Linked DNA regions of Elephas maximus indicus. The protein of the gene in region 1 interacts with the protein of each later gene in a biochemical or structural test. Links are inferred from orthologs where the notes say so. Each region holds a gene or a part of one and is shown on either strand. Other genes may lie near its edges. The genes, in order: MAP1LC3A and ATG7.

Region 1 (16,366 bases):
AGGGTTTCCTGGCTGTCATCTTTATAGGAGCGATCATCAGGTCTTTTTCCCACACAGCCACTGGGTGAGTTCAACTGCCAGCCTTTGGATTAGCAGCCAGGTGCTTAACGGCTGTGCCACCAGGGCTCCTTTCTGGTACATTGCTATTAACTCCAGACTTGATTTCACCAGTTTTTCAATTAATGACCTCTTTCTGTTCCAGGACCCCATTCAGAGGACCGCATACATTTACTCGTCGTGTTTCCCCTGTCTCCTCTGCTCTGTGATAGTTTCTCAGTCTTTCCTTGTTTTCCATGACCTTGACAGTCTTTAAGAAGTACAGGCCAGCTACCCTGTCGGATATCTTTCAGTTTGGGTTTGTCTTTGTTTTTCTCGTAATTACACTGCGGTTATGGGTTTTTGGAAAGAACACCATATCAGATCATATTGGGGTATAAGCTAGCCACATGACATCACCAATGATGTTGACCTTTATCACTTGGTTAAGGTAGCATTTGCCAGGATTCTGCACTGTAAAGTTACTATTTTCTCTTTCCCAGCTTTATTCTCTGGAAGTGAGTTACCAACCCTAGCCCACCCTCAGCGCTGGGAGGTGGGTAAGAATTCAGCCCCACCTCCTGGAGAGGGGAGTATATATGTATATTGTTTGGAATTCTTCCGTAGGAAGATTTCTCTCTTCTCCCCCTTTTATTTAAACCCTGGTGGCGTAGCGGTTAAGTGCTATGGCTGCTAACCAAAGGGTCGGCAGTTCGAATCTGCCAGGGGCTCCTTGGAAACTCTATGGGGCTGTTCCACTCTATCCTATAGGGTCTCTATGAGTTGGAATCGACTCAGCAGCACTGGGTTTGGTTTGGTTTTGGTGGATTGTTTTTCAATTGAATTTTATTTTTTTTATCAAATTTTTATTTCCTAATTTTAATAAGGCTTGTATAAGGACTTCTTTTTTATTGTGCTTCAGGTGAAAGTTTACAGCTCAAGTTAACTTCTCATTCAAAAATTTATACACATGTTGTTTTGTGACACTAGTTGCAACCCCCACAATGTGACAGCATGCTTCTCCCTTCCATCCCGGGCTCCCTGTGTCTGTCCAGTTCCTGTCCCTTCCTGCCTTTTCGTCTTGCTTTTGGTCAGGAACTGCCCATTCGGTCTCATATATTTGATTGAACTTAAGAAGCATGTTCCTCACTTGCATTATTTTTTTGTTTTACAGGCCTGTCTAATCTTTGTCTGAGGAGTGGGCTTCATGAATGGTTTCATTTATGGGTTAACAGAGCATCCAGGGGCCATAGTTTCAGGAGTTCCTCCGGTCTCTGTAAGACCATTAAGTCTGGTCTTTTTATGTGAATTTGAATTCTCTCCTATGTTTTTTCTCCTGCTCTGTCCAGGACTGTCTGTTGTGTTCCCTGTCAGGGCAGTCATTGGTGGTATCTGGGCACCATCTATCTAGTTCTTCTGGTCTCAGGCTGGTGGAGTCTCTGGTTCGTTTGGTCCTTTAGTCCTTTGGGGGCTCATTTTGTTTTGTTCTAAATTCTGACTTAGGCTCTACCCCTCATCTGACCTGGCTCAAGGTCCCCTCCACCAGGACAGACACTGCATCAGGCTCTTCTTCCCCAGCCAGGGCATCTTGGGGCCTGAGTGAGAAAAGCTATTGCAGGGTATGTGGTTAGCATCTGCTGTGATAACTGCCTCTACTCTGGGGGTCAGTTGGGAGCTGCCAGTCCAGGCAGCTGTGGGGCAAAGCCTCAGGGGGGCTCCCTGGGTTCTGTCTGCCCCACTGATACCTGTGCCCTTTGAGACTGGGCCCCAGGTGCATCACCTTGCAGGTTCCATGGCCACTTGAAGTTTTCTCATCTTTAAGACCGGAATGAGCATACCTTCCAGTCAGGCTCCTGTGGTGATAGGATGGCAGGTACTTGTTGTTGTTGGTGACAGGAGCACCTCCCTGAATTCCTCCTCCAGGCCCCTCCATGTCTCTTTCCTGCCCACGGTATGTTCAGCTGCTCTCATTAACTGCAGGTGAGTGAGAGAAGTGCCAGGGCTGGAGGGCTGGTGGACTAGATCCCAGCCAGGCTCACTGCAACCTCTAACTTGCTCTAAAACCCTAACCAAGTGCCTCCTCTGCTGTAGGCCTCAGTCTCCCTGTCTGTGCCATGAGGGAGATACTCTGAGTGTGCTCTAGGTGCCTGTGAACTGCTGGTATCTGCAGTGGTGAGCCCTTTCCTCCCCTTCCTTCTGTGGGCCAGGGCCCCTGCCCCTCCTGTTCCAGGCATCGGAGGACTCGGGTAGTTTGGGATGGGTGGGATTGAATGACTGCAGGTCTTACGTGTGGCTGACCTTAGCAAATCATTGTTCTTCTTTGGGCCTTGGTGAGGGGGATGGTGGGCTCAGCTTCTAGGACCCTTTGGATTTGGTGGCCCAGAATGGAAAAGGCAGACTGAGCTGGGCATGGAGGTAACTGGTGAGCCAAGCCACTTAGGGAACCTGACCCAGTAGTGCTCCCAGTCCAGTGAGGAGACCCACAGTCATCAAGCACCCACACAGGTGAATGTGAAATTCCATCCTGGGTGAGTTTGTGCTACCAAATAGAGGCAAATATGGCCAAGACCTAACGTGGGGGATAAAGGAGAGCTTCTCTGAGGCAGTGCTCCTGCCTGAGACCTGAGGGGCAAGTAGGCATTGACTAGATGAAAGGGGAGAGAGCACTCCAGGCAGAGGACACAGCAGAGATCTGCAGCAGGGGCAAAGAGGCCAAGTGAGGTGGAACACAGGGAGGGTGAGGCATGTACATGGGTGGGGCCAACTGCAAGACCCCCAAACAGGAAGCCCTTGGAGTATTTTAAGCTAGAAAGTAACATAACCAGATTTGTTTTTGCAAAGCTCCCTCTAGCTCTGGGGAGAATGGACTGGAGTGTTTTGAAAGTAAAGAGCCTAAGGAGGAGGCCTTGCTGTTGTTCAGGAGTCGACAGTGGCTTTTTACAGAGTGCTGGCCATGGGGATGAACAGAAATGGGTGGAGTTGGGAGACAGTTTAAGAGATAAAACTGAGAGGACTTGATGGCTTATTGGATGAGGGGGATGTGTGTTGGGGTGACAAGTGCCAGATAATTCTATGGCCTGGGCACCCAGATGGAAGATGGGGGCATGGGTGCCGAGTGGGAGAATAAGATTTGACAGGGAAGTGAGTTTGGTCTGGATCTGGCTGGGGTGGAGGGGCCTGTGGACCACCCCTGTGGTGAGGTAGAGGGGTCTCTGGATGCAGATGCACTAGCCTGCTGTTCGGAGGCCAGGGTGTGGAAGGGAGATGTAGATCGTGGTAGGGAGAGAGGGGGCGGAGTGCAGACAACTTTTGAGAGGCCAGCGAGACCTTGCAGGGCCAAGGGTGGGCCCTGAAGTGGGAGGCTTTGGGCAGGGTCTCCTCAGTGGCTGTTGATCCAGGCATAGGCTGGGGCCTTCCTGTCCCCCAGCACCTGCCCAGCCCCTCAGGGACCCTGGGTTTAGAGGGCAGTACCCTCCAGCTTCTCACATCCTCTCTCTTTCCCCAGATCCTGCTCATCTCTGATTACTTCTACGCCTTCCTGCGGCGAGAGTACTACCTCACACATGGTCTCTACTTGACTGCCAAGGACGGCACGGAAGCCATGCTTGTGCTCAAGTAGGCCTGACTGAGCACAGGACTGCACGGACTTCAGGGGGATGGAAAAGCCAGGAGCTGGACCGTGCCCTCCAACCAGGATTGCCAGGAGGCTAGTCCCTGGGTAGATGGGGGTTCAAGTCCAGGATTACAAATTCCTGGCACCAGATGGGGGCCGTGGCTGGCCTGTGGGGAGGATCCAGGAGCACCTCACCTTGGACCCCCACTTTGTGGCTTGCACACCAAGGAGCTCCCTCGTAGGCAGAAAGGAGGAAGATGCAGGTGGGCAGGACTTGTTGGGTTGTGGCTACTTAATAAATGTTTTTGTTATGAAGATGTCTACCCTGGGACCACAGTGTATGCCTGGAGAGGGTAGCTTGGCCCCTCATACTGCCACAATACCAAGGGTTGGCGGTTTGAACCCACCCAGTTCTGCAGAAGAAAGACCTGGTAGTATGTTTCTGTAAAGATTCCAAACCAAAACCAAACCCAGTGCCATGGAGTCGATTCCAACTCATAGCGACCCTAAAGATTACAGCCAAGAAAACCCTATGGGGCAGTTTTACTCTGTCACATGGGGTCACAACAAGTCAGAATTGACTCAAAAGCACCCAACAACACTACTACACACTGGCATGGGTTTCCAGAATGAGCCCTGAGTCCACAGAACAAAAGTCTGTTCCCTGCAGGCTGAGAATGGTTCCCCACAGTCTCATCAGCAACCCTCCCCACCCCACAAGCAAGCAGCAGGAGGCAAAGGGCCAGGCAGGCCTGAGCAATCTTTAATTCTGCAGAGGAACAATGACCACAGATCCATACACCATGTCAAGACCAGGGAAGCCAGGGACCAGTCCTTAGGGGTGAGCAGGTCCACGAACGGGGCAGTGCCTCGGGTGGGTGAGGGGCAGATGGGCAGAGAGGCATGGGCCTAAAAAAAAGACAAACCACACAGAGCAGGGGTGCAGGGGGCGGCTCCCCACCCTCCCCCATCCCAGCCAACACCCAGAGGGGCAACCCTAAAGTGACTGGCCCAGGATCTGCCCAGGGGCACAGGTGGCATGGTTGATGTCCCCTGGCTACGGGGCCACATCCCTGCCCAGCCCACCAGGGGCAGAGGCAATTCGGTTCAGGAGACAGGGGCTCCCTGGGCAGAGCCTGACTGGCTCCCCACCCCCCCCCCCCACTCCCAGGCCAACCCCCCCTACTGCTGGCTCAGAAGCCGAAGGTTTCCTGGGAGGCGTAGACCATGTAGAGGAAGCCGTCGTCGTCTTTCTCCTGCTCGTAGATGTCTGCGATGGGTGTGGACACGCTCACCATGCTGTGCTGGTTCACCAGCAGGAAGAAGGCCTGCGTGGGGTTCAGCTGCAGGCGGCGCCTGAGGCGGGCGGGAGGGCATGCGGACTGTGAGCTGCCCGGTCCCTTAGCCCCCAACCCTCTCCCCAGGATGGCTCCCAACCTTCGCTTCATAACCACCTCAGATCCTTCAAAAGGGTCTCATCTCTGTCTCCACACTGACCCCAGCCCGGACCCTTTTGACTGTCTGGCCGCCCCAGAACAGATGCCCAGCACCGGTCCCAGGCCCTGGCCCCACCATAGCCTCTTCCCGGAGGGCATCGGTCGCCTGCCTGACGCCAGCTGGACCCAAGTCCCTCTCCAGCGGCGGGCTGCCCGCTTACCGGATGATCTTGACCAGCTCGCTCATGTTGACATGGTCCGGGACCAGGAACTTGGTCTTATCCAGGACCGGCAGCTGCTTCTCACCCTTGTAGCGCTCGATGATCACCTGGGAGAGGGGCGGGGGGGGGGGGTGCGTGAGCCCAAGGCGGGGCCTGGGGCAGGGCGGGGACGGGGAGGGGACGGCGGGCCTCACCGGGATCTTGCTGGGGTGCTGGTCGCGGATCTGCTGCACCTCCTTACAGCGGTCGGCTGCGGACGACGGTCGGTGGGGCGGTGAGGCCGGGCGGAGGTGCTCTCCGGGTCCCGTCCTGCTCCCGAGGGGCGGCCGCAGCCCCGCCCCGCCCGCCCCAGCCCCCGCCCCCGGGCCGTCCGGCCCCGCAGTCCCCGGCACAGGACCGAGCGTTGATGCCCCCGGCCCGGCCGGAGCCCGCCTCCCAGCCCCGGGGCCAGCCGGAGTCTGACGTCATGGGGCTGACGTCACCAGCGGCAGTCGGAATGGGTCCGACGCCCCCCATCCCGCGCTCGCAGACCGCCCGCCAGGCCTCACCGAAGCTCCGCCGCTGCTTGAAAGGCCGGTCCGAGGGCATCGCGCGGGCCCAGCGGGACGCGCAGGTCTGGGCTCCGGGGTGCGCGGCGCAGGGATGTGGCTGCGGTTCGGGGGCTCCGGGGGCTCCGGGGGCTCCTCGCCTCGCGTTCAAGGGCTCCGGGCTCGCGCTGAGCCCAGCCGCGGCGGCTCCGGGAGGTAACTCGCCCCGGTGACGTCAGGTCACAACATTCCTTAAAGGGGAGGCCGGCGCGCCGCTCCCATTGGGCCGACGCAAAACCCGCCCGCCCGAGTCCGTGACGTCACGGCGCAGAGAGCCTGGATTCCCGGCCCGGCGACGCGAAGGGGCGGGGGTTCCCAGGGAGCGTCACAGTCCCCTGACGTCATGGTCTGCGCGGGCACCTCTTGCCAAGTTCCGGACTGAGGTGAAAGCTGAAAACCGGCGAGACCGTTGCGGGGAATGGGGTGAAAGGGAGCGGGGGGCGGACCCAACCTGGGCCGTGTGGCTCATGCCGGTAGGAGAGCGTGGGCCCGGCAGCAACTCAGCATCCACCTGGTCCCACTCTCGCTAAGTCATTTGACAAACGCGCACCCAGGGCGCGCGGAGTTCCAAGGACTGTACTAGATGCTGGAGATAAGAGCAGTGAACCAAAGTCGCCTTCATGGAGCTTTTGGTTACAGGAAAAAAAGGGGGGAGGTGGGAGAGGGGAAGAATTTCAACGTATGGAAAGAGGAAGACACGGAAAAGGAGCAGACAGGTTTTAAAAATAATTTCTAGAATTGAAAAATAGAGGCATTGAAATTCAAGTCTCAGTGGATGGGATAAGAACACAAATTGGACACAATAGCAGAGAAAATCACTGAAGTGGAGGATAGATCGGAAGCATTTACCCAGAGAAAGAAGGTGATGGAAAGTATGAATGAGTGAGTGACATGAATAATAAAGTGAGAAGGACTCACAGGTCTAATCATCAGAGTTCCAGAAGGAGAGAATAGAAAGATTGTGGCAGGAAAATAAGACTGATGGTTGACTTCTCAGCAGCAAATATAAAAGCCAGAATAAAATGTAATAACATCTTCAACTTCTGAGGGAAAAATATGGTCAACTAGTAAGTTAATCCATGATTTAAGAGTCTGAGAGAAGGAAAGATATGTTAAGACAAAGGCATAGTTTACACAGATGATTGCTTAAATAATTTTTGAAGGATATACTTTAATAATAACAAGTAACCCAGAGGGAAGAAATTAGATGAAAAAATGGTGAGCACATAAGGTAGTAAACTGCTAGGTAAGTCTAAACAGGCACTTAATATAGAACAGTAATAAAAAAGCAAAAACAGGAATAAAAAGCAAACCCGTTGCCCTCAAGTCCATCCCGCCTCATAGCTACCCTGTAGGACAGAGTAGAACTGCCTCATAGGGTTCCCAAGCCTGTAGTCTGTACAGGAACAGACCACCACATCTCTCTCCCCCAGAGCAGCTGGTGGGTTCAAACTGCTGACCTTTCAGTTAGCAGCTGATTGCTCAGCCACTGCTTTTAGAACAGTAATAGTAATGATTAATTTGTGGGGATTAAAAAGAAGGTGCATGGGACACAATAACATGTAAGGCAGGAGAGGGTAATCAGAGTTAAAGTGTTCTTAAGAAATCCGATTTGTTTGAGAGGAGGATAAAGATATTGACAGTTGTCTGGCTTCGGAAAGTCAAATATGTATTTTAAACTTTTAAGAGTGACCATTAGAAGAATAGAAATGGAATGCATAACTGTCAGTGCTGAAAAGAGAAAAGGGTAGTAAAAAAGGGTGCTAAAAATACAATAGAAGGTAGAAAGGAGAAAAAGGAAGTAAAGTAAAAAGGATGGTAAACAGCACAAAACCAGAGGTAGGAAATGTGTTTTAAGTTCACCTGTTAAAAAACGTTATCAGATTGGCTAAGGAAGATAAAATCCAGCTCTGTGCTGTAAAGGCGTGATGGTTAACATTGCGTGTCATCTTGGCTGGGCCACGATTCTCAGTGTTTATATGTGATCACTCCCATGATGGAATCTGCTGTGAGTAGCCCATCAGTTGAAAGGGAGTTTCCTCGGGGGTGTGGCCTGCATCCGAATATAAGACATTATGGCTTTTTGCTCACTCTGGATCCTGTGGCTTCCTCCTGTTTGTCTGACCTCCGGCTCTTGGGACTTGGGCTGTTAGCCTGTCTGCAGATCTTGGGATTTGTCGATCTTCACAGCCTGAGAGCAGGAGCCCTGCTCTCTGACCTGCTGATCTTGGGTTCATTAGCCCCTGCAGTTCCGTGAATCAAGAGAAGCCTCTATCCTGATCCACAGACTTGGGACATTCCAGCCTCTACAATTGCGTGAGCTGTTTCCTTGATATAAATCTCTCCCTGCGTGTATTTATATGCTTTCCTGGTTTTGCTTCTCTAGAGTACCCAGCCTAAGGGGACACTTAAAACCTAAAGGCATCAAAAATAAAAAAAGGTGGGAAAAGATGTACTATAGAAAAACTAACCAAAGTATGTATGTATAGCAAAATCAGACAAAATAGACTTTAAGGCAAAAGGCATTGTTGGGGATAAAACAGGTCACTAGAAAATGATGAAAGGCACTATTCTCTAGGAAGATATAACAATTCTGAACTTGTATGTTCCAGGTACAATAGGCTCAAAATATATAAAATGTCAGAAGTATAAGGAGAAATTGCCAAATACTCTATCATACTAGGAATTTTTTTTATTGCTTTAAAATCTTTAAAAAATTTTTTTTAATTTATTATTTTGTTGTAGAGAATGTAGACAGCAAAACTTACACCAATTCAACAGCTTCTTCAGGTACAATTCAGTGATACTGTTTACATTCTTCAAGTTGTGCAACCATTCTCACCCTGCTTTTCCGAATTGTTCTTCCCTGATTAACATAAACTCACTTCCCCTAAGTTCCTGTCTAATCTTTTGAGTTGCTGTTGTCAGTTTGATCCCATAAAGATAGATCTTGAAAGAGCATAATGCTCAAGGCAGACATTTTTTACTAGTTAAGCTACACTATTGTTTGGTTTTAAGAAGACTTCAGGGGATATTTTTGGTTTCAAATTTAAAGATTATCTCAGAGCAATAGTTTCAGGGGTTCATCCAGCCTCCACAGCTTTGGAAAGTTTGGATTCAATGAGAATTTGAAATTCTGTTCTATATTTTCTCCATTTTGATCAGGATTCTTCTATAGAATCTTTGATCAAAATGTTCCATACTAGGAAATTTTAATACTTCTCTCTCAGTAACTGATAGACCAAGCAGCCAGAAAAGAAAGGATATAGAAGATTTTTAACACAATAATCCTGATCATTGAACTTCAGTTGAACCCTGAACCCAACAAGTTATTTTAAGTCACGTGTGAAACATTTACAAAGAATTACCTAACCACTAGGCCGCCAGAAAAATCTCAGCAGATACCAGATAATCAATTTCATGCAGACCGTATCCTCTGACCACAGAGTGGGGAAGTGGAAATTTAAACATACTTCCAAATAACTCTGTACTCAAAGGTGAAATCGTGTAGAAATAGAAAACATTTAGATTTGATAAAAAATGAGGACAGATATCAAAATCTCTTGGAAGGACATGCAACTAAGGCAGCAGTCTTAGAAGGAGATGTCTAGCCTTATTATGTATATGGGTAATTTAATATAAAATTAAATTTAAGCAGAGCATCAAATTTAAAAAGGAGTAACAGTGTAAACCCAAAGAAAGTGGAAGGAAGATAATAAGAGCAGAAATTAATGGATCAACAAATCAAAGTTGGGCTTTTGAAAAGACCGATAAAATGAGCATTAGTGTGCAAAAGAGACATAACTACAGATAGAACAGGAATCACAAAAATGACTGGAATATTGTAAACAACTTTATGCCAGTAAATTTAAAACTTGGATGAAATAGACAATTTCCTAATAACATATAATTTGCTAAAACTAACTCAAAAAGAAGTAGACAAACTTCATAGCCTTATACCTATTAAGAACATTGGGAAAATGGAAAAAAAAAGTTAAAAATCTATCTCCCAAAAAATCAACTGGTCTAGATGGTTTTCCACGTGAGTTCTACCAAGATAAAAAATCCCAAACCTGCGGCAAACATTATACTTAATGTAAAACACCATACTACATGGTGAAATAGTGAGCATTCCGCTTAAAGTCAGGAACCAAGGGTTTCTGTTCAATATTGCATGGAGGGCCCACCCAAAGCAAGACAAGAAGAATAAAATTGTTAAGGACTGGACAGAAAGGGGCAAAACTGTTACTGACAGCCAGAAAATCCAAGGGAATCTACAGACAAGAAGACCCAAACTAAAACCCACTGCTGTCAAGAAGAGACTGGTAAATAATACAGTTAACAACGACAGTACACAGTATCAGGCTTTAGAAGAGTGTGTGAAGTTGGGAATGTTTTTGCTCTGCTGATGGGAGTGTACGGGTATCCCCTGCTTTTGAAAAGTTCTCTTTATGCCACTTGGCTTTTACGAAGGACCTACATTAGTACCTCTTTTGCTAACCCAAAGAAATCCAAAGAGTATTTTTGCTTTTACAAAAAAAGGCAAAAAGTGGAAATAGCATTCAGCATTTGTTGAGCCGTTAGGCAGTGCACACCCCAAGCAGCAAGAATGATGTCACCAAGCTCCTTCACCAGGAACTGCACTCAGCATCAAGCCACCATAGATTTGCTCTGGGTCTGTGAGCGTCTGTGCATTATGTCGATTTATTTTGTGCATCCGTTAGTAACATGTCTTAAAGTATCAGAAAAGCCTAAGAGAGCTCCTAAGTGTTTTATGCGTTATTGGGTATGATTTGGTAGATTATTTTTTGGGTCCGAGAATGCTGAAAAAATTTTCGCGTTTAAATTAATGATAATTGCGTCTTCAAATTATGCCATTTTGGCTTCTGAAAGTTTTCATAGGAACGATCTACTTTCGGATAGTGGAGAAAACTTGTGATTTCAGCCACGTTGGAGAGCAGTTTGGCAAAATCTACCAAAACAGAAGATGCCTGTATCCACAAACCATGAATTCCACTTGTACATGTGTCCCTGAGCCCAAGCAAACATGGTTAAGAATATTTATTGTAGCATTTTCCTGATAGCAAAAAAGTGGAAACCACCTGTGATAGTTAAGGTTGTGCGTCACCTTGGCTGGGCCACAATCCTCAGTGGTTTGGCAGTTATGATGTAGTTTGGCAGCTTTTTAATGATGTAATCACCTCCATGATGAGATCTGATATGTGATCACCTCCATGATGGGATCTGCTGTCAGTGGCCAATTAATTGAAAGAGATTTTCCTTGGCTCTGTGGATTGCATCCAATATAGATGAACTTTGTGGCAGAGCTTGCAGGCTTTCGCTGGCTCTGGATCCTGCAGCTGGCTCCTGTTCATCTGACCTCTGGTTCTTGGGACTCGAGCTAACAGCTGACCTGCCGATCTTGGGTTCAACAGCCCCTGTAGCTACGTGAGTCAGGAGAAGCTTCCAGCCTGACCCACAGAGTTGGGACTTCACAGCCCCTACAACCGGGTGAGCCATTACCTTGATATAAGTCTCTCTCTCTGTCTATATATAAACACTTCACTGGTTTTGCTTCTTTAGAGAACTGAGCCTAAGACACCACCTAAATGGCCTATTAACTAAATATCTTGTTGTGTATTCCTGTAACAGAACACAATACACTTACAATGGAAGGATCTAGAAGGGGGTCAGCAAACTTTTCCTGTAGAGGGCCAGGCAGTAAATGTTGAAGGTTTTCAGGCCATATGGTCTTTGTGGCAACTACTCAGTTCAGTTGTTGTAGCTGAGAGCAGCCATAGACAACACCTGAACAAATGGGACTGGCTGTGTTCCAAGAAAATGTTACTAAAACAGGCAGGTTTGGCATGAGGGCCTTGGTTTGCTGGCCATTGATTTACAGCTCTGTGTCAAAGTGAAGAATCTCACAAACATTGCAACATAAGTTTGTGATCAGAGCCATTAAGGGCAGCAGAAAGAACTAGGTCAGCTGTGGCCTTAGGAAGTGGTTACACCTCTCTTTTGTTTTTCAGACTAAACCCTGGGCTGAGGCTAGAGTTGGGGAGGAGAGCCCATCCTCCAAATCCAAAAGTCTGTGCTCATCTTCCTCTTTCCTGACCAGTCACAGTGCCTGACCTGCCTCCTCCTTCTGTCCTCAGGCTTCCCTCTTTGCTGGTTCCTCCTCATCTCCCAGTCTCCCCTGAATCCTGTGGCCTGGCTACTCCATGCCTTGACTTGAATGTCTGATACCTCAAACTTGACCTGCCCCAAACCAACCCATGTGATCTTCCCCGAAAGCTTGTTCACTTGTAATCAACACTGTCTCATTTTTTCCAGGCCAGAAACCTTGGTGTCATCTTTGACTCCTTTCTTTCCTCCACCACCCACATCCAATCCATTCCAATATCATATCAGTTCCACCTTCAAAATATCTCCAGAGTCTGACCACTTCTCACCACCTCCATTGCTGCCACTTGGGTCAGAGCCACCATCATCTCTCGCCAGGACAATTGCCATTGTCTCCTCACTGCTCTGGCCTGGCCCCTAGTGGCAACAGCGATCCTGTGCACACAGGAGTTGGGTCCCACCGGTTCAGAGCAACAGCCAAGGCTGACTCAGGCCCACAAGGCCCTTGGAATATGGCTCCCTGCTGCACCTCTGGCCTCAACTACTGTTACCCTCACCCCTTTGGCTTCAGCTACACTGGCCTCCTTGCTCTTCTGAGTAAGGATTGATTATTATTATTATTTTTTTTTAATCATTTCTGTTGTGCTTTAGGAAACCCTGGCGGCTTAGTGGTTAAGTGCTACGGCTGCTAACCAAAGGGTTGGCAGTTTGAATCCGCCAGGCGCTCCTTGGAAACTCTGTGGGGCAGTTCTGCTCTGTCCTGTAGGGTCGCTATGAATCAGAATCGACTCGACGGGACTGGGGTATTGTGCTTTAAGTGAAAGTTTACAAATCAGGTCAATCTCTCACATAAAAACTTACATACACCTTGCTACATACTCCCAATTACTCTCCCCCTAATGAGACAGCCCGCTCTTTCCCTCTGCTCTCTCTCTTTGTGTCCATTTCGCCAGCTTCTAACCCTCTCTACCCTCTCATCTACCCTCCAGGCAGGAGATGCCAACAGAGTCTCAAGTGTCCACCTGATCCAAGAAGCTCACTCCTCACCAGCGTCCCTCTCCAACCCATTGTCCAGTACAATCCATGTCTGAAGAGTTGGCTTCAGGAATGGTTCCTGTCCTGGGCCAACAGAAGGTCTGGGGGCCATGACCACCAGAGTCCTTCCAGTCTCAGACCATTAAGTCTGATCTTTTTTATGAGAATTTGGGGTCTGCATCCCACTGCTCTCCTGCTCCCTCAGGGATTCTCTGTTGCGTTCCTTGTCAGGGCAGTCATTGGTTGTAGCCAGGCACCATCTAGTTCTTCTGGTCTCAGGATGATGTAGTCTCTGGTTCATGTGGCTCTTTCTGTCTCTTGGGCTCGTAATTACCTTGTGTCCTTGGTGTTCTTCATTCTCCTTTGATCCAGGTGGGTTGAGACCAATTGATGCATCTTAGATGGCTGCTTGCTAGCATTTAAGACCCCAGACGCCACTCTTCAAAGTGGGATGCAGAATGTTAATAGATTTTATTATGCCAATTGACTTAGATGTCCCCTGAAAGGATTGATTATTCTTGTTTCCAGGTTCTAAGTGGACTTTTCTGAAGACTGAAGGGACTGAAACCCATCCAGGGCCCCCCAAACCTCTGCCTCAGACTGTCCACTTTTCAGTCCCCAAAGATGCTCTGGCTCCACTGGGGAAGTGGAGGCCCCTGCCCATATGGAGTCTTGAACCTAGCCTTTCCTCTCTTCTGGGCCTCACTGTCTCAGTTTCCCTCTTTCACAGTGGCCATACACCCAGCTAGAAGACTTAATTTCCCAGCCTCCATTTTAGTTGGGAGTGGCAATGTAACTAAACTTTGATCAATAAAACATAAGTGAAAAGTGATGTATGGGATTTGTAGGACATCTCCTTAAAGAAAAGAGGTGCTTCCTTCATCTCCATCCTCTATTAGCTGCCTGGAACATGAATGTGATAGCTGGGGCTCCAGCAGCAATTTTGGATCATGAGGACAAGATCCACACACCCTGAGGATGGAACTGAAAGCTGAAAGGAGCCTGGGTCCCTGATGTCTTTGTGGAGCCACCATTCCAGCCTGAACTGGATAAGCTTCTATCTTGTTTAAGCCATTATTTTGGGGTTTCCTGTTATTTGCAGCTGAACTGAATTCTAATTGAAACAGCTTCTGTGGCTCCTCACTCTCCTGGCCTCCCTGCTCCTCATTCTCCTCTGCTGGCTCCTGCTCCTTGAGCTTCCCTGCAGAGGGGAGGTGTCCCAGGTGATGTCTTCAGACTTCTGTCCTTTCATCTCTCTTCTCTTACTCTGCTGAGTTTGCTTGAGTCCCTTGTCTTTAAATACAAATCACAAATCTCTTTGTCCAGCCCAGACTGCCAGAGTTGTGTATTTAGCAGTCCATTCAACATACATTTCTAAAAATTTTTGAAAAATCAGTTTTATTGAGGTATAATTTCAACATATCTTATTTGACCTGCTCATGTTTAGTAGACCCAAATTAAGCAGGCCATTTTGGAACTGTTGATCCCCTCATCCCTCCAAACATGTTCCCCAGTCATTCCCAGTCAGCAAACGGCAGCCCCCGGCTGCTCAAGCAAGAGCCTAGGTGTTTCCCTTGATGCCTTGTTCCCTCACTCCCTACATTCAAACCCATCGGCAAGTCCTAACGGCGCTCTCTGCGGAATCCCCCGCCTCTTGACAAGCCACCATCAGTTCTTAGCTGGCTAAATGGCGTGATTCCATCTGCCCCCACATTCTCCACAGAGCCACAAGAAAGCAAAATTGGTGTAAATTTTTATAAATAATAGATTTCAAAGATATTTCTTGCTTGCCATTGGTCTGCACCTCCAGATTCACCCTGGAGTTCTAGCTAACTCTCCTATTAGTTACATCATTGGAAAAGGACTGAGAAGCACTGGCTGATCATATTAAAGCATATCTTTAGGTTATTACAGACCTTTAATAAATTTTTATCCAGATAATATTTGGATAAGTCAAATAGCACTTTAAATACTTAGAGCTGTTCCTTATGATATTTACCTTCATGTTTCTAAACCATGTTTTTTCCGTGATTTCTTGAGTCTTAAGTTCTTACCATGAAAGGTAGTTTGATTCTTACATTCCATTACCTTTCCCATCCCCTCAGCAGAGCTGTAGCACCATTTGGGGTTTATAGTATTCTACTTACAATTTTTTTTTTTTTTACTTACATAACTAGTATAGCTGAGCCATGTACTATCCCCTGGATTTGCTTTTTATTGTACAGCTTTTTGTCATTCTATTTTCTGGAATTTTGGCTTAGTTTTTTTTTTTTTTTGACCTGGACACTCAGATCTTTCAATCTGGAGATTCATGTCCCTATTTCTGGATGCTTTTGTGTAGCCTCTTGGCGATAATTTCCTCCCGTTTTCTCATTCTGGAACTCCTGTTAATCAGATGTTGAATATCCTGGACTGATCCTTTATTTCTAACTTTTCTCTTCCATTTTCTATCCCTTTTCCTCCAGTTTCTGGATTTCCTCAACTTTATCTTGAAACTCTTTGTTGAATTTATTGTTTATATCTTTGAAGAGTTCTTCGTCTCTGAATGGTATTTTTGTTACAGCCTCCATACCATGGCCTACAGGGCCCTGTGTCAGTGGTTCTCAACCTCGGCTGCATGTCACAGGGCCCTAGGGCCCTGTGTTGGTGGTTCTCAACCTTGGCTGCATGTCACAGAAACCTGGGGAGTTTTTTATTTTTACTGATGCCCAAGGCTCACAGGGATTCTGATTTATTGGTCTGGGGTGTGGCCCAAGCTTTTTGTTTTTAGTTGGCAGTGTCTCCACTAGAATATAAGCTCTGCTGCTGTCTCCTCTGTGTCTAGACTGACACCTGGTACATAGTAGGCATTCACCAGGTAATTGTTGAATGAATGAAGCACCATTTTGTGAAAGATTACTATAAAGTAAGAACGAGTTACAGGAATCTCCTAATGATGCTTTCTCTAAATATATATGAAAACCTAATGCCTGAAAGTCAAACAATAGTCTTGCATGTTGAAAAGGTGCTCAAAACCCAAGGACAGTTAACAAAATACTGTTTCCTATTTCACCTTGCCTTTTAGGCAAAGTCTTTAACAATGTATTTTTTGTGAACTAGGATGTTAAAAAGGAGCCCTGGTGGCACAATGGTTAAAGCGTTTGGCTGCAAACTTAAAAGGTGTGCAGTTCGAACCCACCAGTGGCTCTGCAGGAGAGAGATGTGGCAGTCTGCTTCAGTAATGATTTGCAGCCCTATAAACCCCATGGGGCAGTTCTGCTCTGTCCTACAGTCTGTATGAGTTGCACTTGACTTGATGGCTGTTTTGTTTTT
Region 2 (16,536 bases), on another chromosome or scaffold:
AAATACATCCAGTGACCTGGATAACAATTTAGGTTTGCTTATCAGTCCTACAGACATAAAGCAGAAATAAAGAGGTAGTACAATGGATGATTTAAAAAATCATGGTTTAAAAAGATTCTGACCACCTGGAATGACAGGTCAATTTTAACAAGATTAAAATTTCGTAGCAGTAAATATAAGGCCTTATATGTAGATCCAAAAAAAAAAAGCTACTCCGCAACAATGCCGTTTGTTACATGCAGGAAGTAGGAGGCACTGGGAAGAGCACAGGTTCATGAGCCACAGACACCAGAGTTCAAATCCAGCCTGTTACTTTCTAGCCACATAGCCTTGGGCAAGTCACTGCACTTCTCTGAGCCTGTTTCCTCATCTGTAACACAGGACACCACATATCGTGTAGTTATTTAGAGGATTCAGTTAGAAAGTGCGTCTATCTGGCACACAGGAAGCACGTAAAACGTGAGGGCTAATATTACCAACAAAATACGTGCTAACGACATAGTGGTTTCCACTGAGTTATTTCTTCAAGAAACGTTTATATTAGTCCCTATGGTATAGTTCAGGAGTCACTGGGAAAGAAGCTATTGTTGTCATTAGTTGCCATGGAGTTGGCCTGACTCACACTGGTTCCACACACGATAGAACAAGACGCTGGCTGGCTGCACCCTGTGACTGGCTGCGGATCAGGCTGCTGTGACCCACTGGGTGTTCACTGGCTGATTTTCAGAAGTAGATCACCAGGTGCTTCTTCTTAGTTCACCTTAGTCTGACAGCCCCGCTGAAAGCTGTTCAGCATCATAGCAACATGTAAGCCTCCTCATGCACTGGCCAGGAATTGAGCCCAGGTTTCCCACACTGAAAGGTGAGAATTTTACCACTGAACCACCACTGCCCACTTAAAGAAGCTATGGTCTCTACTTTTAAGGAGCCAATAGTTTTGAGGGAAAGCTAGACAAGGAATGTCATCACAGCAATTTGATAAGCCATGGATTTGTATTTTAGAAAACACCTGCAGTTTAGAAAGGGCACTTCAGCTTGTATTGGAGACACAGCAGTGAGAGCCAGGCTGCTGGAGACAGGACACCCAGCTTGGAGATTATGCAGGAAAATAGGCAGGAAGTGAGGAGGGCCTGAACTAAGGCAGTGGTGGAGGGAAAGAAGAGGAGGAAACACATCCAGAGACATTAAGGAAGTAAGATCTGTGGAACTCAGATGACTGCCTGGCCTGGGAGAGAGAAGGGATGGCATGAGAGGGAAGAGTTCAGGATGACTCTCAGGGTTCTATTTTGGATGATTAAATGGAAGGAGGGAAATATGTGAGATAAAAAGGATGGAAAGAATCATAAGTTTGGAGGGAAAATGATGAGCTTGGTTTTGGACTTGTTGAATTTACAGGCTGGCCCTTAGGAGAGAGATCTGGGCTTGAGTTACAGAGCTGGGTGTCATGGGTACATGAATGAGTACTGAAGCCATGGTTGAGAAGAGCAAAGAGTAGAGGGCAAAGCCCTGAAGAAAGTGGGTCAAAAGAAGGAAAAGAACACACAATGCAAACTGAGGGGGTAAATGGCCAGACAGACAGTACAAAGAAGGACTAGTTTTCATAAAATGAAGGAATATAAGCAACATGAGATGTGCTAAGGAGTCAAAAGATAAGGAAGGAGTTGCAGCAACGCAGAGGCCTGATGACGTGGGGAGCAGTTTTGGTGGCGTGGAGGGGATGAAGCAGGGTTTCAGCGGATGATAACTTAAGAAAGCGGAGGTTAAAGCTGCAGATAACTCTCCCAAGAACGGTGGCCAGAAAGAGGAGTGATGCAGTACAGCAGAGGTTAATGGGAGGGTGTTTTGTAAATTCCAAATTGAGAAGAAATTGAGGATATTTAGAAGAGAGACGTTTGTGACACAGGAAAGAAAAGGAACAAATGATGGAACCAGTCCCTAAAGAAAAGGAGATGGAATCTGAAGCACAGGTAGAGAAATCAGCCTTGTTCAAGACAAACACCACTTCTTTCACAGAATTAGAATAAAAGGCACAATGATAGGGTCAGCTGGAGATAAGCTTGTAAATGATAGAAGCTGAGGAGCCTTAACTGATGGCTACGGCTCATGAAGTAAAAGACACAGCAGGAGCGTGAGGAGAGGGATGACACCGTGGATGTCATAGCGGGGAATGGGCTGCCTGAGGACACAAGGGGATCGCTGAGCAGCTCTGAGGGCCCCGCTGGCCTGCCTGGTAACGGGATGCTTGTTAAGAGCCTGATGCATCCCCCGATGAAAATCGGGAGAAAGGGTCTTAGGTTACTGCAAAAAACATGCAGTCTGCTCTGCACGGTCAGACACATCGAGGAAAAAGGACTTCCTTTCTATACCATGCACTCGAAGAGGGACTGATGAAGATGAACATGTTCAAAGGATAGTAACTAGGATGAAGAAGGTGTGAGGAAGTCCCAAAGGGGATCGTTTGGGGGATGGACTGAGATCTAGTAACAGACCTGTAACAAGGCTCTCGTCCTTGTTGTTGTTAGCTGCCGTGGAGTCAGCCCTGGACTCAAGGTGACCCTATGCACAACGGAACAAAACTGCCCAGTCCTGCACCATCCCCCTGATTGGTTTCAGATCAGACAATGTTCCATTGCAATCCATAGGGCTTTCGTTAGCTGATATTCAGGAGTAGATCATCGGGCCTTTCTTCCTAGCACATCTTAGTCTGGAAATTCTGCTGAAACCTGTTCAGCAGCACAGCAGCACACATGCCTCCACTGACAGACTGCTGGTGGGTGTGCATGAGGTCCACTGGCCAGGAATCATACTCAGGTCTCCCTCATGGAAGGTGAGAATTCCACCACTGAACCAACAACACTCCTGGGAACAAAGTCAACCAAAAAACCAAACCCATTGCCATCGAGTCAGTTCCGACTTACAGCGACCCTGTAGGATAGAGTAGAACTGCCCCATAAGTTTTCCAAGGAGCAGCTGGTGGATTCCAACTGCTGACATTTTGGTTAGCAGCCAAGCTCTTAACCACTGCATTCTACCCTGATTACACAAGCAGGCCTAACTACACTGGAGAAAGGTGGGAACAGGATAGACAGAGAAAGGAGGAGAAGAAAGGCATTGGGAAGGCATTTACATCCATGGGTAAAAGTGGAGGACAGGCCAATTAGGCTTCCAAATAAAATCTCAGAGGTAGTCAGGGATTACCACACAGTGAATTCATCTTTTCCCAATATCCTGATTCCTGCTTTCCTCTTCTCCCTGTTACCCAATCATTTATCAAATCCAGAAAACTCCACCTCCTGTTCTCTCTCAAATCTACCCACCTGTCTCAGTCCCCACAGCAACTGCACTGACATCATTCTGTCTTCAATTTCTGTCATTGGAATTACTGTAACAGTGCCCTGACTGCTCTCTCTACTGGTCTTGCCCTGTCCAATGTAATCACCACACTGCTGCCCGGGTAAATTAAAAGAGACTAGAGCATATCACAGCCCTCTTAAAAATTCTTTAGTGCCCCACCGCCTGTTCCCATAGCTTTAAAAATGAAGTCCAACCTTCTTAGATTGTCATGCTAACTGCTATTCTTTGAGTGTTTACTATTTACCAGTGTCAAGTGGGTAATACATCAGCTCATTCAATTCTCAAAGAAACCCTGGGATGTAGGTTAACACATCCACTTTTTATGGATGAGGAAACTGAAGCTTAGAAAGGAAGTGATGGCCCAAAGCCACAAGCCTAGTTCATTAGCAAGGCCAGTATTTGTACACGAGTATCTTTGATTCCAAAGTCTGTGCTCATGACTACTACATGCCCGTCATGATCTCGCTCCCACTTGCCTTTCCACAGTCACCTCTTATTCTAAAACTCTTCACTCCAGCTCTGCCCTCTCACCTACAACCCTTCGCTCATGCCTTTCCCAGTGTCTGCGGTATCATCTCTCCCACGTCCCACCCCTCTTCAGCTGACTAATTCCTACTCATCCTAGGACTTAATAAAACATCACCTCCTCACAGAAGCCTTCTCTAATGCTTCAGCCTGAATTACGGGCGTTCCTCAGTCCCCCTCTAGAAAACCTCTACAATAGCTTCATACTGTACTGTTGTTGTCTATCTCCTTGACTTAAAAAACAGTAAACTCCTTGAGAACAGAGATATGTATCTTACTCAATTTTGCATTCCCAAATTGCAGTGCACTGCCAGGCACTCAGCAAAAAAAAAAAAAAAAACCTGCAGCCATCAAGTTGATTCCAACTCATAGTGACCCTGTAGTACAGAGTAGAACTGCCCCATAAAGTTTCCAAGGAGTGCCTGGTGGATTCAAACTGCCAACCTTTTGCACTCAGCAGTAGCAGTTTCTATTATGGAACACTGGTGGTCTAGTGGTTAAGTGCTACAGCTGCTAACTAGAAGGCTGGCAGTTTGAATCCACCAGGCACTCCTTGGAAACTCTATGGGGCAGTTCTAGTCTGGCCTATAGGGTCGCTATGAGTCAGAAACGACTCGATGGCACTCGGTTGGTTGGTTGGTTTGGCTGGGAACAGAAAAGGGACCTTGTGGTTGAATAATGGAGAGCCCAGTATTCAGCTCCTTAAGGTGTTTCAAAATCGTGTCACATAAGGAGCAGGAAGGAGTTGACCAGGGGGAAAAAAAAAAAGGGTGGGGGTGTTCTAGGCAGCAGGAACAGCAGGAGCAACACAAACAAGGAGTGTAGCCAAGACAGAATCTGCAAGCAGTTTAATGAGACTGGGGCACAGAGTTGGGGAGAGAGGGAAAAGTCAGGCAGGATGAGCCTTCACAGTCTGGCCTTTTCATCATTCAGGTGTTAGCTCCAATGTCACCTCCTCAGAAAAGACTTCTCTGACCAGCTAGCTTTTTAGAAATAGCCCTCTACTTCCCCCAATCCCATTACTCAACAACCCATTACTTTTTTTTTCTTCATAGCCCCGATCAGTATATGATAACACCCACCACCCTTCAAAAATATTGTTTATTGATGATTCCACCCACCACCATCAAAAAGCAGGCTTTGTGAAAGCATGGTCCTTACTTATCTTATTTTGCTGGTATATCACCAGAGCCTACCACACATATGTGTTTGGCACACAGAAAACACACAACTGCTTGACTCATTTATTCAACAACTATTAATTGGATAGAAACCCTAGTGGAGTAGTAGTTAAGAGCTACGGTTGCTAACCAAAAGGTCAGCAATTCAAATCCACCAGGCGCTCCTTGGAAATTCTATGGGGCAGTTCTGCTCTGTCCTAAAAGTCACTATCGGAATCGACTCAGGCAATGGGTTTTTTTTTGGCTACTAACTGCATGTCTATAATATGCTAGACACTGTTCTAGATGCTGGGGATATAACAACAAATAAAACAAGACGAAATCTTCTGTCCTTGCGGAGCTTACCACGGGTAGCTAAATTAAGTATACTTAGCATAAAGGCGGAATCGACTCGTAGGCACTGGTTTTGAAAGAGCATAAAGGCGAGAGGGTAGGAAAAGAAGTCAAACTAGCAGCTTTCAAAGATGTGCAGGACAATTAGGTGGAAGGGAGATTTTAAGAGCCTGGAGGGACGATAAGCTGAGATTACTGGGTAACAGCTTTCAGCTCCACGTATGACTTTTTAAGAGACAGCACTTGGGGAAAACCAAACAGGAGAAACCAGAAGTAGTGCGCTTTCTGGGACTGTGGAAATTTAATCAATGGGCAGGGATGTCACAGAAGAGACCCAAGTATTCAGTGGAAAAGGGACTGCGGGACCCAGAGGTCCCAAACTGACAGCCAAAGGTATGCCTGGCTTCAGCTGCACAGTGAGTTCTGGTTTCATATCTCCAATATCATGACAGTATTGTGCTTATAAAACTCAGTTCAGTCAAAATAAAAGTCTGATTATATTTCCGACAAAGAACTTTTCTTACACCTATCGTTTACCTTATCTGACTCCTGTTAAGTATTAGAGTTTGCAACCCCTGGACCAAACCCAAGCATCCCAGAACCTTAGCTGTCAACACCCTTAGAGTTCTCATTTCCCAAATGACATATAAACATCCCTATTTTACAGATGAGGGAAGAGAGGCTCAGAGAGGGGAGACAAGTGCCAGACTCACACAAGAAATCTGGGCAAAGCCAGGATGAAACCCAGGTGTCCCATCTCCTGTGTTCCAACACCGGAGATTTTGATCACTCCCTGCCCAAGAACAGGAGGAACTGATTTAAGAAATTAGCAGGCGCTTTCCTTGTCACTAATAGTCGGAATCGACTCGAGGGCAACGGGTTTGTTTTTTCGTTTTCCTTGTCAGACGAGCCCGGGCTGAAGGAGCCTGAGAAAACACTGTTGGAGAGGGTGACAGCGGGAGGCAGTGACGCCCGGCAGGTGGAAGGACCGCCCAGGGGCGTGCGGGGGAGGAGCTTGAGTCCCGCCAACACCCAGACCCTCATCGCTGAACTACCCTCCTCTCCCTAAGCCTCCAAAACCCACCCGCAGGACCCCCACTACTCCCTCAACAGCCGCGGCTCACTTACCGCCGCTCAACTTCCGGCAACCACAGCGTCGTCCGCAGTGCGCGCCCCAATGACGTACCATGGCCCCGCCCCACCAGGGTGGGGAGAGCGGTGCGCGTGCGCACAAGGAAAAAACGCGCAAGCCTGGGGAAATGAGTCCCTAGCACCGGATTGAAGGGGAGGAACTTGAGTCTTGGGAAGGCGGGGCATCAGGGGGTGGGCGAGGCTACCTGGTGAGAGCCGTTGGACGGAGACTTTCTCTGCCTTAACGGATGTGGGAATGTGTACATGGGCCGTTAAACTTTCAAAAAAATGCCCCCACATTCTCTTCCGATTTCAGAGGATGACAGGAATTATCATCATTCCCATTTTCCAGGAGAGAAAACCTCCAACATAGCAGGGGACCACTACGGAGGCAGTGCGGAGAGACCCAAAAACCAAACCCACTGCCGTGAAGTCAATTCTGACTCATAGCGACCCTATAGGACGGAGTAGAACTGCCCCATAGGGTTTCCAAGGCTGTAAAATCTTTACAAAAGCAGACTGCCATGTCTTTCTCCCACAGAGCGGCTGGTAGGTTCAAACCAATGAATTTTGGGTTAGCAGCGGAGTACTTAACCACGGGTGCTGAAAATACAACAGCGAATGTGATAAACTCAATCTGGCATAGAAAGTCTCTTCACAAAGTGACCCTGATATGACTCTATAGACTTAAAACAGAGCAATGACTACTATTTGTTGATGCCCTACCATGTTTGTAGTGTTTCCTAGCTCTAATCCTCACAACGGTCCTTCAGGATAGATGGTATGGTACTACCCCGATTTTACATATGAAAGAACAACAACAAAACCCAGCCGCTATCAAGTAGATTCCTTGAGAAACTGTTTGAATTCTCCTGGAATCTAGATTTCTTGGTCCATGGAGTTAGGGTGATCCACATAGGTCATTTGCCTTTAGGTGTCCTTTTAAAACTTGAGCCTAGAAGAAACTTGTTTTCTAAAAGCCACTTTTGAGCCAAACAATGGTCTATATAAACTAGTAAAACTGTTTTTCTTTGGGCATTGTGGTCTTTTGAAGAATTCAGTCAGTTTCAAGAAACAGACTCCAAGGATCAGACTGGGAGCTATGTTTTAGGGTAAATCAGTAATTATTTTAATTGCTTCTCAAGACAATGCTGTATGAAATTTTTCTTGACCACAAATTGCTTATCAGTTCTGTTCTGCCCTTTCCTCATGGCAATGCCGCTAAGATTTAGTATAAGAATTTTGGAAGTTCTTCTCATCTTCGGAACATTTTTGACTCTCTGGTCGAAAATTTACCCCAATTTGCAAATTGTATATTAAATAAGTGGTGCCTTGGTGGGCACAGTGGTTAAGAACTATGGCTGCTAACTAAAAGGTCAGCAGTTCAAATCCACCAGCCACTCCCTAGAAACCCCATGGGGCAGTTCTACTCTTTTGTATATGGTCCCTATGAGTCAAAATCAACTTGACGGCAACGGGTTATATTAAATAAACTTCAATTCATTTCTATTACTGGCTTAATATGACTTTGTTTTAATACTACTTATGGCAATCCAGGAAAACCCTGGTGGTGTAGTGGTTAAGTGCTACAGCTGCTAACCAAAAGATCAGCAGTTTGAATCCACCAGGTGCTCCTTGGAAACTTTATGGGGCAGTTTTACTCTGTCCTATAGGGTTGCTATGAGTCAGAATCGACTTAACGGCAATGGGTTTGCCTTGGTTTTGCTATGGCAATCCAGAGCCCTGGTGGCACAGTGGTTAAGTGCTACGGCTATTAACCAAAAGGTCAACAGTTCAAATCCACCAGTTGCTCCTTGAAAACCCTATGGAGCAGTTCTACTCTGTACTGTAGGGTCACTATAAGTTGGAATTGACTCGATGGCAACAGGTCGTGGCAACCCCCATGCATGCAGAGTAGAAGGGCACTCTGTAGGGTTTTCAAGGCTGTGAACTTTCAGGCCTTTCTTTCAAGGTGCCTTTTGGTGGGTTTAAACCACCAACATTTGTAGGCAAGTGCCTAACCATCTGCACCACCCAAGGACTCCTATGAAAGAACAGAGGCTGGGAAAACATAAGTGCCTTATTGAAGATGAAAGAACTTTGGGCCCAGGCCTCTAATGGAAGCCTGTCTTAACACTGTCAAATAAAAAATAAATCTGAACTGAGCAAGAAGAAACTTTATTCAAAAGAATTATTGCAAGAGGGAGAAAGGGACTGTCTTAGTCATCAAGTGCTGCTATAACAGAAATACCACAAGTGGATGGCTTTAACAAAGATAAATTTATTTTCTCACAGTCTAGTAGGTTACAAGTCCAAATTCAGGGCATCATCTCCAGGGGAAGGCTCTCTCTCCCTCTCTGTTGGCTCTTGAGGAAGGTGGTTGTCCTTAGTCTTTCCCTGGCCAAGGAGCTTCTCAGGCACAGGGGCTCCGTGTTCAAAGAACTCCTCTGCTCCTTGTGCTGCTTTATTGGTGGTACGAGGTGCCCCGTCTCTCTGCTTGCTTTTTTCTTTTATATCTCAAGAGATTGCCTCAAGACACAATCCAATCATAGGTTGAATCCTCCCTCACTAACTCAACTGCCACCCATCCTCTCTCATTAACATCATAGAGGCAGGATTTACAACATATAGGAAAATCACACAATACCAGGAGTCACGGCCCAGCCCAATTGATACACACATTTTTGGGGGGATATAATAGGGTCACTATGAGTCGGAATTGACTCGATGGCAGTGGGGTGGGGGAATTCAATCCATGACAGGGACTATTGCAATAAAGGGGAAGAGGACTACTATTACAATAGGGAGAATTCTCTGACCAAAGGATCTACAACCAGTCTTATGTGTTAGGCAAAAGGAATTTTTCTTTTATAAAACCCATTGCCGTTGAGTCGATTCCGACTCATAGTGACCCTGGTGGTATAGTGGTTAAGTGCTATGGCAGCTAACCAAAAGGTCGGCAGTTCAAATCACCAGGCGTTCCTTGGAAACCGTATGGGGTTATTCTCTACTCTGTCCTATAGGGTCGCTATGAGCTGGACCCTATTTTCTTTTATAAAAAAAAAAAAAAAGAAACCAGTGCCGTCGAGTTGATTCCGACTCATAGTGACCCTATAGGAGGGAGGAGTAAACAAGGCTAGAAACAAGGAGTGGCTTGATTGGATCAAAAAATGGTTTACCTGGAGGCCAGCCTATTCTCAGGAGGGGTTGTATGCTGGCTCAGGCTGAGGATGGGTCAAAATTCAGGAGCCTAGGGGAAGGGGAGAAGCTTAACCAAAGTCTGGTTAACAAGCATTTTTTTCCAATTCATCAGCGGAGGGAAGTCGTTCAGCTAATCTTTTATGAGGCAAAGAATGGGAATTTGGAGGGTCTGGTGGTACAGTGGTTAAGAGCTATGGCTGTTAACCCAAAGGTCAGCAGTTGGAATCCACCAGCTGCTCATTGGAAACCCTATGGGGCAGTTCTACTCTCTCCTGTAGGGTCATTGAGTCGGAATGGACTCAATGGCAACAGGTTTGTTTCTTTTGTTTGTTTTTTTGGCTCAGTGGTTAAGAGCTCAGCTGCTAACCGACAGGTCGGTGGTTTGTACCCACCAGCTGCTCTGCAGGAGAAAGATGTGACAGTCTGCTTCCATAAGATTGCAGCCTTGGAAATCCTGTGGGGCAGTTCTACTCTGTCCTGTAGTGTCACTGTGAGTTGGAATCAATGGCAACAAATTCGGTTTGTATTTTTTGGTGTCTGATCTTGGAGTCCCTGGGTAGTGCAAACCATTAACACACTTAGCTACTCACCGAAATGTTGCAGGTTTGAGTCCACCTCAGAAAAAAGGCCTACTTTCTAAAAATCAGCCACTGAAAACTCTATGGAGCACAGTTCTACTCTGACACACATGGGCCGCCATGAATTAGAATCAACTCAACAGCAACTGGACTGTAATAAACAACTTCAGGAGTTTCTGCCCAGCGCGCAATGATTCCCTCTTCTTTGGGAACTGTTGGTTTCTGTCTAAGTACCACATACGCTGCCCTGGGCCACCTCCCTCCACAGTTGATTGGGGCAGAGGTGGATACCTATGATGATTCTCTACCCTGAGTTTTGGACTTTTGAACTAATGCTCGTAGAGACTAAAATTAGGCACAATTCACATAGGTCCATGGCAGTATTCTAGAGGGCATGTCCTTAAGTGCTGAGGTTCCTTTGGCTGACTTGGCTCAAGCCCTTCCCAAAGCTAGGTTACTCAAAACTCCACTGGAGTCCAGAAATACCCCGGGAACCATTCACAAAGCTTGTTTCTGTCATTTGGAACTCTGAAGCAGCTTCATAGGGTTGGAACCATGTCTGTCTTGTTCTCCATTGTCTACCAACACCTGGCACAAGGTCTGGCCCAAAAAGCACTCAAAATGTGTTTGTTAAATTAACAGACAAAGTCTGAGCATCAAAAATAAATGTGGGATCCAGGGCTAATGGTGACTCAGGCCACTAATGTGGCCACCTTGTTAGCAGGGAGTTAGGGTGGGGCTCAGAGCAGCAGGCCTGCCCCTGCTGACCAAGATGGGGTCGGGGGTGGCTTTTGTTAGACAGACCATTGGGGCACCAAGACCATGGAACATCAAGTATCAAGAGAGCTGCAGAAACTGGAGCCACTGAAAGGCAGAGAATGTTCTCAGACACAGCAGGGAACGAGGTTCCTTGACACTTATCTAAGACCACAGCGATTCAGGCTAATGCACTTTCACCACTTGTCTTGCAGCTCAATTAAGGGGAGCAGAGACTCCCTACAGTAGGAGACCTGACCAAGCCAGCCTAGGTTTTGAAAGGCCACTGGCAAATTAGATCTTAACAGCATCGTTCCTTCATAGCACTTACAGTGCCTAGCAGCCAGAAGAGCCCCAGCAACTTATTCCACTTTGTTAAGCCCATTAAATCTACCTCCTGGAAGTCCCTCCCGTCTTCAAAAGGGAGCCCAGCCAAGTTTCTGAAAGCCAAGAAGCCCAATGACCAATTCACCAATGGCCAATTTGCTGACTGACAGATTTTCTGAATGAACACTAAGCTAAAATGACCAATTTATAAGGTTTACAGCAATTTCTATCAATGAAATAGCTTCGTGAGCTTTTAAAGATTTATGTGATACCGTAGTTGACTGGGTTTCATTTTGTCTTCAGAGAAAGCAAAATGTTTTCTATTTATCAAAAGCTAAGGGTTGTTTAGTTTTCCTTTGAGTATATTAATGAAGAATATGTTCTTGAACATAGCTTTTATTTTTGAGTGTATTAATATTATGCCACTCAGTCTCCTTTTTCTATCCCCCACTTGCTTCTTCTCCTTTCCCGTCTCCTTTCCCGTCCCTCAGACTTCCCCTTTTCCATCCCCTCTCAGTGTCTTTATGTCTTCATCTCTCTATGTCTTGTTATTGTTGTTAGCTGCCATTGAGTCGGCCTTCAACTCATGGCGACCCCATGCACAATGAAATGAAACACTAATTGGTCCTGTGCCATTCCCATCATCTACTGAAGATCCCACCATTGTGATCCACAGGGTTTTCATTGGCTTACTTTTGGAAGTAGATTGCCAGGCCTTTATTTCTAGTCTGTCTTAGTCTGGAAACTCTACTGAAGCCTGTTCAGCATCACAGCAATATGCAAGCCTCCACTGATAGACAGGTGTGGCTATGCCTAAAGTGCATTAGCCAGGAACCCAACCCACGTCTCCCACATGAAAGGTGAGAATTCTACCACTGAACCCCCACTGCCTCCTTCTCTGTGTCTTAATCTCCCCATCTGCCCCTTAATCTGCCCCTCCTTCAGTATCCTCCTCTTTCTGGGCATTTGGTTCCCCCTCTCTCCTTCTTCTGTTCCTTGGTGTCACCCATCTCTTCTCCTTAGACCCCTCCTGACCGTCTGTCTCCTCCTCTCCACTCCCTAAACCAAAAAAGAAAAACCCAAACCCATTGCCGCCGAGTCGATTCCAAATCATAGCGACCCTCTAGTTCCTCTTATTTCTACCCCTCATTCTTCTTGCTCTCTCTCATTCTCTCCACCTCAGTTTCCCCCTTTCTGCTTCTGGGTCTCCCTGTAGTAGCAGTAAGCAGAGAGCATAGATAAAGAGGACATTCCTTAATATGCTGCCATTTAAAAAAAAAAAGTGAAAACCAGGTACTATAATTTCTCAACATGTTTCTAAAATGTTTTTTAAAAATCTCACCTCATGTGAAGTGTTGTAAACCTTGTAAATGATTCAAAAGAAGCCAATTTTTGGTAAATCAGCAAACTTAATAAATTTGGCAAATTGGTCATTCTGGGAACTAACTTTAAGCTAATCAGCCTTAAGCCAATAAAAAAGAAACCTGAAGGAGGTCCTGAGTCTTAGCCACAATTGTGGTTTCTACGACAGCCTTCCCCTATAAAGGGTTTGTTTTAATATTTAGGGCAGAAAGCCTGGCTTCAGCTGGATTTCATGCAAGCTGCCAGCCATCGATTCTTTCCTACATGTGCTGGGCTGAGTTATCTCTGCATCATAGTCCATTGTTTTTCATAAATTCAAAATTAATTCAGTCACACAGTCAGGAGTAGGAAGGGTAGGTTGATACAGTGGAAAGGAAGCAGATTCCAGAATCAGGTCTTAGAGTGGTTCCTTAACCCTCTGTACCTCAGTTTGCCTATTTGTAAAAGCAAGGAAATCCCCTTCATGAGGTTGTTGTGAAGGTTAAACTAGATAACATGGGTAAGGCACAAAACCTGGATCTTAGTGTATCCTCAGCATGGTTTAAAAAACATATATATGAGTGTCTGCTGTGTACCCGACACTGTGGCATACACCACAGACACTATAATAAAATAACGCTAGACTCTGACCATTTACACTTTTTAACTATTTCTTTGAGTTCTTGTCAAACCCCAAAGTCAGAGCTCATAACCACTTCTCACTACTACTTCTGTCAATTATCATCAGTATAAGTAATGTCTGTGTGGAGTGGTCTTTTTAAGTGTTCGGGGTCCTGAGGGATCCTGAGACAAAATTCTCTCACAGGTCTTCTGAGCAATTGTTTCTGACCTGGAAATAGACCAGCTGCAGCTTCAAAAACAAGGAAAAACATCTCCTAAACTCTCCCAGTTTTGAGCAAGAAGAACTTTTCGTGATGCGGAACAGAGTGAAAATGAAGCTTTTTATTAAAAAAAAAAAAAAGTCCTTTTCTAAAGCTATTTACAAATGCAAACAGAAATGGGAGAGAAACGCTATATCAAATCTTGTAACAGTTGATACTACATTTGAATGTATCTTCTCAGTCCAAGAGACTCCAAAGTTAAAAAGAAAGAAATCACTTAACATTGTAGTTTCAAACATCATATTTAGGTAGGTAAAAAGGTCTCATTTTAACAGATCATGCAAACAGTAACACAAGATTCAAAATACTAGCTTGTACAGGCACTCCCATTTGCTACACATATTACAGTCTAGGCTCAAGTTTTAAAATATAGATCACCACCAGATTGCAACACAAACACCAAATAAAACTGTATGTTCTCATGCCTTATTAGTTTTTGCTTAAGAAGGCTGACTGTGAAAGAACATGGCCACTTTTTTAACAAACACAACAGAACTCACCAGTAAATAGTAGTCACCTTCTGCGGCCACAAGCTTATTCTATGTCAGCTGGTTTTCCTCCCAACTTATTTTTTCAAGAATTGCCACTACTCTTGGGAATGTGTGCGTGTGCGTGTATTTGTACTTAGGAGAACCAATCTCTGCCTTTTGGAGAAAATGGGGTACCAGACAGGGTTTTTATCCTAGCTCCCCTGTATAACTAGCTATGTGACCTTAGGCAACTTACTGAAACCTGCTGCACCTCGATTTGGTGGAGCCTATAACAACACCCTCCTGTTGTGGGGTGCTGTGGAGCCTATAACAACACCCTCCGTTGTGGGGTGCTGTGGGGTTTAAAGAAGATAAACATGGTACCAGTTAAACCAGTTGCCACTGAGTCAACTCTAACTCACGACAACTCCATGTCAGAGTAGAACTATGCTCCACAGGGTTTTCAATGACGATTTTTCAGAAGTAGATTGCCAAGGCTTTCTTCCAACATCTCTGGGTGGAATCAAACTGTCAACGTTTAGCAGCCAAACGCATTAACCATTTGCACCCCCCAGGGACTCCAAACCTGGTACAGCCTTCAAGAAATAAAGCTTTCTTGCCCCTATTCCCTTTTTTGTTTTGATTGTGTAACCATTTTCCTTTTTCTCTTTCTTTTGAGGGCAGCTTTTATCATTATATTTTTAAGAGCCAAAAGGAATTTGGGGTTGAAAATGATAGCTGTTCAAGCTGCATAATTTCCTACTCTAAGACATGCGTGAGTGAGAAATAATAAGGCAGAATTTCCAGGGCAATTGAGATACTGGCTCTGGAGAAAGTTGTAAAAGAGGCTCAGAAGAGAGGTGTCCTGACAAGTGGCAGCCACAGAGGGACAGCTGTCCTGCCTCTCAAGGTGACCCCTTCGAAGGAACACCATCTGTCTGCGTGTATATAACTCTCTGCACAGTCATCAGCTCCATTCCAGGAAAGATCTAGAGTTCTGGCTAACGCTCCAGTGAAGCTCTACCCACATGTCCCTTGGGTTGCTAATTAATTCAAGTCTGAAAACTTGAAAGTACAGTCTGAGGCTCCCAAATCTCCTGAGGAAAAGGAGAGTTCCATCCAGGTCTGATTCTCTTGGAGAGACGCTGCTTTCTACTTAGAGTACAATGTCTCTGCTGACCACCACCATCTGCAGTTCTTCCAATGGTGCATAAGAACTTCCCAAAGGACCTAGCGCCTAAGACTGTTGTTTGACTCCAGGAAGCCCAGAGGCCTGGCAACACACAGGCCTTTATCCTCCATTGCCTTCTAGGACACCATCGGCATCCCTTTGTTGCAGCCCATCAGAACCCTGTTTAGCAGTGAATGTGCAGAATTTTCTTGAATGTCTTTTTGAAGTTCTCATTGCACAAGGGATAGATGAGGGGGTTCAGCGTGGAGTTGATATAGCCCAGCCAGATGGTAAACATGTGTGCTCGTTCACTGAAGCAGCTCTCGCAGAAGGCAATTACCATGAAGAAGATGAAGTAGGGAGTCCAGCAAATGATGAAGGCTGCCATGATAAAACCCAATTGTTTGGCTGCCTTCCTTTCACGGTTCACGTGCAACCCAGACACAAACTGTCTTGAATGTGATCGAAGTCTCTTCCACGTGAACTTGATATAATCCAGGCTTGTGCCAGGCCCACTTTTCAATTTGCCTTTCCCTGACGCTGGCTCAGTGTGGGTATTTAAGTCTGCTTTGGAAAAGGGCTGGCTTTTACCTAGGGTCTGGTCCTCTGATGTCTTGCCAGCCCCATGTGTGTTCAGGCCCTGCTTGTCTATCTCAAGCTGGGTCTGGTTGATGGCTACATACTCCCTGCCACCCTCCTCCACCATGGTCTGAATCGGCACCACGTTAAGTGGGAAGCCGTGGAGTTTGGCCACTTCTCCATCCTCCTCTTGGCTGAAGACAACTGGGGATTTCATCTCCCCTGGGTCTTGGGATGGTGGCTTCAAGGCAGGTCCACCACTGGCATCTTTACACTTCCTTTTCAGAACCTCGCTGGGGGACTCTCTCCCTGGTTTCTTGGCACCGACCTTGGGATTCTCTGGCCTCTGCCTAAATTCTGAGAAGGAAGGGAGGGATCCATCAGTGAGCTCCCGGTGCTGACAATGTTGCTGCACGGCCTTGTAGATCTTGGCATAGAACCAGAGCATGAGCAAGGTAGGCAGGTAGAAGTTGATGATGGCGGTCATGATCTTGAACCAGGTGACATCGTAGAAGTCTGTCTCACACTTGTCCTGCTGGTACTTCGAGCCCCCTGATATAAAACGATGCCAGCCTAGAATGGGGATAATCCACAGGAAGGAGAGAAACCAGGCACCCATGATGGTAGCTGATGCTCGAGTCTTGGTACGATACCGCAGGTACCTGAGGGGCTGCTGGACAGAGCGGT

What was found.
Region 2: the proteins of MAP1LC3A (region 1) and ATG7 form a complex in vitro, tested with the Homo sapiens proteins (2 studies listed by BioGRID, with this or other methods). The link is inferred for Elephas maximus indicus from reciprocal best matches to the Homo sapiens genes MAP1LC3A and ATG7.

Annotation. Positions count from the first base shown.
Region 1 is NC_064843.1:34,893,320-34,909,685, forward strand, and holds MAP1LC3A (microtubule-associated proteins 1A/1B light chain 3A), read right to left. Parts: upstream 6,058-16,366; 5' UTR 5,895-6,057; coding exon 5,855-5,894; intron 5,557-5,854; coding exon 5,501-5,556; intron 5,414-5,500; coding exon 5,307-5,413; intron 5,006-5,306; coding exon 4,843-5,005; 3' UTR 4,836-4,842; intron 4,559-4,835; 3' UTR 4,392-4,558; downstream 1-4,391. Other genes in the region: PIGU (phosphatidylinositol glycan anchor biosynthesis class U protein), read left to right, coding at 3,542-3,655. UniProt on the Homo sapiens protein: Ubiquitin-like modifier involved in formation of autophagosomal vacuoles (autophagosomes). While LC3s are involved in elongation of the phagophore membrane, the GABARAP/GATE-16 subfamily is essential for a later stage in autophagosome maturation.
Region 2 is NC_064838.1:36,390,946-36,407,481, reverse strand, and holds the start of ATG7 (ubiquitin-like modifier-activating enzyme ATG7), read right to left. Parts: upstream 6,587-16,536; 5' UTR 6,522-6,586; intron 1-6,521. Other genes in the region: HRH1 (histamine H1 receptor), read right to left, coding at 15,455-16,536. UniProt on the Homo sapiens protein: E1-like activating enzyme involved in the 2 ubiquitin-like systems required for cytoplasm to vacuole transport (Cvt) and autophagy.